Kluyveromyces lactis: one gene and its partner. The protein of the gene in region 1 purifies or fractionates together with the protein of each later gene. This does not show direct contact. Links are inferred from orthologs where the notes say so. Each region holds a gene or a part of one and is shown in the gene's direction. Other genes may lie near its edges. The genes, in order: QCR6 and QCR2.

Region 1 (2,652 bases):
GCAGGAGGTGAAAACAATCAAAAGCAATCGCCTACGGTACAGAAACAAGGTTTCAACAATACAAACTCATCGAGTAACGGTTCTAATACGAAACTAAAGAAAAATAATGGTTCTACAACAACTTCACCCACGATTAATGCTAATTCTAATTCTACAACATCTACATCAGGTACCACTGCAACAACTGCACCAGCTCTTACTGCACCATCAGCTTCAAGTTCAAATTCCTCTGTGAAGAGTAACGGCAGAACAAGATCCGTGCCTGGAAGACGAACCTCATTAAGAGGATCAAATCGATCTTCTCAGAAACCTAAATCCTCTAGTGAGGATGACGAAAATGACGCTGACGCTGACCGTGAAAACGAACGTGACGAAGAAGACGATGATGATGACGACGTGGTAAAGAAGCAAAAGCAAGTGCATAAAGTAGCAGAACAAGGAAGAAGAAACAGATTGAACAATGCATTGAAGGATCTTGAGTCCTTGATTCCAAAGGAACTCAAAGACGTGGCGGCAATCCCATCCAAAGCTACCACAGTCGAGCTGGCTGCCCAGTATATCCGTCAATTGTTGAAGGCAAACTCCAACCAGTGAGTACAGACATCTTTCTCTCTCTGTGCCTGTATAAATGTATCTATAGTGTTTCTTACCCTTAAACCACGTGATATGATATTTTCAGTTGCTTTACATCATAGATAATTATGTATCACGTGCAAATAAAATGTCATCCATCACTATCGACGAACCAATCACAATCTACCGTCGTGTGTGACACAGATCGCCTTTAATAGCTATTCCTTCCGAAAAAAGCCAGACTCAGTGCGGGAGCCTCTAGCGGCTCCCCTATGCCCACAGCGGCTGTTGGTTCTCTCAACAAGTAAGATTTCAAGAGGAAAGAGCCTGTTTATTCGTCGTACAATGTGATGACCGATACAATGTCGCAACTGAAACGGCAGTACAAAGGCTGGATAACATAAACATTTCCAGCATCGATTATTTCATTGGCCGGCCAATTTGGGCAGGGAAATAGTCCGTTCCTGCGACTCCAGCAATTGACTAAGGTGCCAAACAAGCACCAAAACCGCTCAGAATCAAACCCTATCCAAGCTCTCTTAATTCGTGTGCAGTTTAAACCTTGAATTTTATCGGTTATCTATATGTAGAGTTTCCGTTATATGCTTCCACATTGATACGTTGATTTCTGCGTAATTTTTTTTTTTGACCTTCGATATTTTTTTTTTTAGTTTAAAGTATGAAAAATTTCATATTTCGATTTTAATTATAATATATCTATCAATCAATCGATATAATATTCAGTTCACATTACTTCGGTTATATCATATTTTTGTTAGGTTAGCTCCAATTCATAAGTTGTTTAACTAGGTTTTATAAGTTTTCTTTTCGGTTCAATACGGTATCAAGTAACTAATACGTCGGGTATTTGGTTTTATTCTATTACATCCAGTTTTGATTTTATTTTATTTTATTTTGTTTGATATACACAGAATAAAATATTCATAAGAACAATAATACAACCAATACATTCACAAACTTTGGGCTTTATTCATATTTATTCGTTGTATTTTGATTTTACTCGATACTAGAATTTCCCTGTCCTTTTTGAAACTATCAATTTTAAATTAACATACACACACATATTATAAGAGAACAGAATGATTTCCTCTATTACTGCTTACTTGGAAGAATTAAAGGATGCTTTCGTGCCAACTGTGGCCAAGGCTGAAGACGACGTTGAAGAAGATGAAGAAGAGGAAGAAGATGACGAAGATGAAGACGATGAAGATGAAGAAGAAGAACAAGGTGATCAATTAGATGCTTTGAGAGAAGAATGTAAATCTACCGAAGAAGGTAAGCACTTGGTTCATCATTATCTGGAATGTGTCGAAAGAGTTCAAAAGGCACAAGAAGAACCAGGCTATGAAGATTTGGCATACAAGGAGGACTGTGTGGAAGAATTCTTCCACTTGGCACATTTCGTGGATGAATGCGCTGCTCCAAAACTGTTCGATTACTTGAAATAAAAGAGATATCCCATTTCATCAATATAAATGCAAATGGAAAAGGAGAGTTCATATTCTACTTTTTTCTAACCTTTATTTCAGTCCTGTTCAAAAAATCAACCGTTATACTTAACACATATTTCAACATTCAATCTCTAAAAGAATTTAAAAGCGAAAAAGATGTTTCAGCTTATCGTAATCACCTAAGGTTCCCCCTTGCAATTTGAGGAAATAAGTAGAGTTTTCTTTTCAATTCCAAACAACCACACAATCCATCCCATACTATTATGAATTATTGACTTAGAAACACAATAAACTTAAAATTTAAAAATAAGAAACAAAAAAGTGAAGGAATCACAGATCGAAGGGTATCTGGAATCAATTTGAAGAACTGTACCAAAAAAATTCAGAAGAAGAGACTACTCCACTACCATTATTTTATTATTATTATTATTATTATTACTACTAGATTCGGTTTTCTTCCTCTTTTTTCTCAAAAGAATTAAGAAAATAACCTTTCTCAACACCCATGGCATTGCAAATAGAAGGAAAGAGAGGAGTAATATGGTATCATTTTACTGACCCTTTCCTTTCAATAAAAAATTGGGATCAAGATATGTTAATTGTTTCC
Region 2 (3,134 bases), on another chromosome or scaffold:
TTTTACGGTAAGTGATCCAAGGGCGAGAACGTTATGAATAATTTGTTGTGCGATGTTGACCAAGTGTTGCTCCTCATCCTGGTTGAAATATTGAACAATTCTGTCGCTGATGTCACCCGCATATAACATAAGGAACAAACCTTCTTCGTTAAAGTAGTAATAAAGGGTCTTACGACCAGAGAGTGAGGTTTCTTCCAAATATTGTACGCATCTTAATTGAATCAAACTGACCAAAACGGTTTTAATACTGGACAACGAAAGTTCTGGTATGAAAGAATGAATTTCTCTCGTGGAGAGTCTTCCTTTGTTGACCAACACGGATAGAACAGTACTGGCTCTTTCACCAAGATGGGATCTGGCAAGTTCAGAGTATAAAAACGAATCTGGGTTAAGAGTTCTCTGCTCTAATGAAGAGATATCGATTGGTTCTGGTGATGTGGATGTGGATGGTTCTGCGGCTGATACAACACTTGCACCACCATTTGGAACAGCCGCATCGGGGATCAGGGCAGCTTGGGCAGCACTCATGTCAGTGCTTGCAATAACAATTGTTTATTTTCCTACCTTTTCTACAGTCGAGCCACCTTGTTGCAGTAGTCATGCATGTATGCGATGAGATGAGATGAGATCAATTCAATTGATAGATTTTTTTTTTCTTTCAATACGAATGGATGGGTCTTTCAAGAAGATCGAAAGAAACAGGCAACATTATTGTAAGTCACGTGGTCACAACCACGTGACTTTTGTGTTTCTGTGTCACGTGACATCTCATCACTCACGAACCAATCATTTCTAAGAACCGTGTCCAACCATTTTTTCTTCAAATGGTTTACCAATACCCTTTCACAGTGCATTACGCGATTCCTGTCTGTTCCCTCTCACTCCCAGTACGTTCCGCTAAAACCCGATATCCCCTTCTTACTGTGACTCCAAGATGGTCTAAGCACGCTTCTCCTTTCTACAGAATCAGCTCGCTTCTTCTCTGATTCCTCTGTAGAGATCAGTCTTCACATCTCGAAATATCTTTTTTTTTTCAATTTTTTTTTTTTTTGTTAGTTATTGGATTTTATCGCATATAGCTTTATTCAATAGGTTCTTGAAAAATTTATAACAAAATATGACAATTCTACTTCAAAGTTTAGAGCTTTTTGTTTGAAGATTGGTTTTGATTACAGGTTTTGTAAAGATTTGTGATTGATATACTATTTTGATTACTTTGTTTTACTCGTTACTCTGTCAGTGTACTTTTTTTGCTCTGTTTCGATACTTATTTTGTGTGTGAGTAAATATTATTTGAGTTTGGACATTAAAGGAAAAGTAGAGGAAGACCTTTTGATTAACGCATAATTGATATTGATATTGATTGATATTCTGACTCCCAAAATTAAAAAGCCCATAAACATATAATATAAAGATGTTGTCCAGTAGATTACAATTTGCCCAGCAAACTGCTAGAAAATTCAGTATTTCCGCTAAAGACGGTTCCGGTAAACTATCCACTTTGGCTGTTAAGGTTCACGGTGGTTCTCGTTACGCCGACAAAGAAGGTATTGCCCACCTTTTGTCCAGATTCAACTTCCATAACACCGGTAACAAGTCTGCTTTGAGATTGGTTAGAGAAAGTGAATTGTTGGGTGGTAAGTTCGAATCCAGTGTTGACAGAGAATACATCACTTTGAAGGCTACTTTCTTGAAGGAAGATCTTCCATACTTCGTTAACGCTTTGGGTAACGTTTTGTACAAGACCAGTTTCAGACCCCACGAATTACCAGAATCTGTCTTGCCAGCTGCTAAGTACGACATTTCCGTTTCTGAAACTAACCCAATCAACAAGGCCGAAGACTTACTTTACAATGTCTCTTTCAGAAAGGACTTAGGTAACACAGTTCTATACAGAGGTGTCGAGAAGGTCACCTTGGATGATATCAAGGCTTATGCCAACAAGGTCTACACCAAGGAAAACATTGAAATTGTTGGTCAAGGTGTCAACGAAGCTGACTTGAAGAGATTTGTCAACGACTCTTTGATTGGTTCTTTACCAACTGGCTCCAAGTTGGCTGCTCAAGCTCAACCAAAGTTCTTCTCCGGTGAAGCCAGATTAAGTGCTCCAGGTGCCTCCGTTGCCGCTATCGCTGTTCCAGTTACTAAGGAACAGTTCGCTACCTACGAAGTCTTGGCTAAGTACCTAACCTCTGCTTTGTCCGAATTGTCTCCATTAATTGACTCAGCTAAGTTAGACAAGTACGCTAATGCCGGCTTGTTCTCTTTATACGTCAAGGGTGAGGATGCTTCTGTCGTTGCTGAAAACATAAAGAAGGTCGTTGATACCTTGAAGAAGGATGTCGACATTTCAGCTGCTAAGGAATACACTGCCTTGCAATTATCTTTGGAAAACGCTCCAATCGATGTCTCTAATGTCAAGAATGTCAAGTTGGACAAATTCTCTTACGCCGCTGTAGGTAACGTCGCTAAGCTACCTTTCGCTGATGAATTGTAAATTTCATCACAGTTAAAAATAACTCACAGATTTTAACCTTTCTCCTACTAGCCAAAGTTACACACATAGTACTTTAAAACTGAAAAAAAAACAACAAACAAACACACATATTCATGAGAGATGACAGAATCACATCACTGAAATGTTTAGAAACGATATTACATTTCTATTGTACATATTTTTTATTATCTTTTACCTTTCGTGGCTTTTGGAAACATTGCAACCTAAAAGAAACCAATAAAATTCAAAAACAAAACTCTCTAAGATTCAAAAGAACACCTTTAACCTTTGGAAAAACTGGTGATGTTAAAAGAGAACCCGTCAATATCTTAATCTTTTGAAATGTGCAGAAGCCACTGATCAAATTCAACAGTTCTGTTGATTCATACAATCCCCATCACTGCTCTTAAGAAAAACAATCAAACAGAGGTTGTGGTGATATTGCAAGAACGTTGGTTTAATACGTAGTGTGTCTTCTTGCCGAACCTATTTTTATTTTCACATATCATCTTAGAAACTTATCACTTATTTATTGAAGTATATATCTCTGAACAAATATCAGTTAACATATTATTGAGAACTAGCAAGTGGAAAGAATATCATAGATTACAGACAGAATAAAAAATAATAAATGATA

The links.
Region 2: the proteins of QCR6 (region 1) and QCR2 purify together in Saccharomyces cerevisiae (affinity purification with western blotting; 3 studies listed by BioGRID, with this or other methods). This does not show direct contact. The link is inferred for Kluyveromyces lactis from reciprocal best matches to the Saccharomyces cerevisiae genes QCR6 and QCR2.

What each region holds. Positions count from the first base shown.
Region 1 is NC_006040.1:1,355,446-1,358,097, reverse strand, and holds QCR6 (ubiquinol--cytochrome-c reductase subunit 6), read left to right. Parts: upstream 1-1,673; coding exon 1,674-2,042; downstream 2,043-2,652. Other genes in the region: phosphate-sensing transcription factor PHO4, read left to right, coding at 1-594. UniProt on the Saccharomyces cerevisiae protein: Component of the ubiquinol-cytochrome c oxidoreductase, a multisubunit transmembrane complex that is part of the mitochondrial electron transport chain which drives oxidative phosphorylation.
Region 2 is NC_006038.1:323,122-326,255, forward strand, and holds QCR2 (ubiquinol--cytochrome-c reductase subunit 2), read left to right. Parts: upstream 1-1,414; coding exon 1,415-2,497; downstream 2,498-3,134. Other genes in the region: RPC82 (DNA-directed RNA polymerase III subunit C82), read right to left, coding at 1-528. UniProt on the Saccharomyces cerevisiae protein: Component of the ubiquinol-cytochrome c oxidoreductase, a multisubunit transmembrane complex that is part of the mitochondrial electron transport chain which drives oxidative phosphorylation.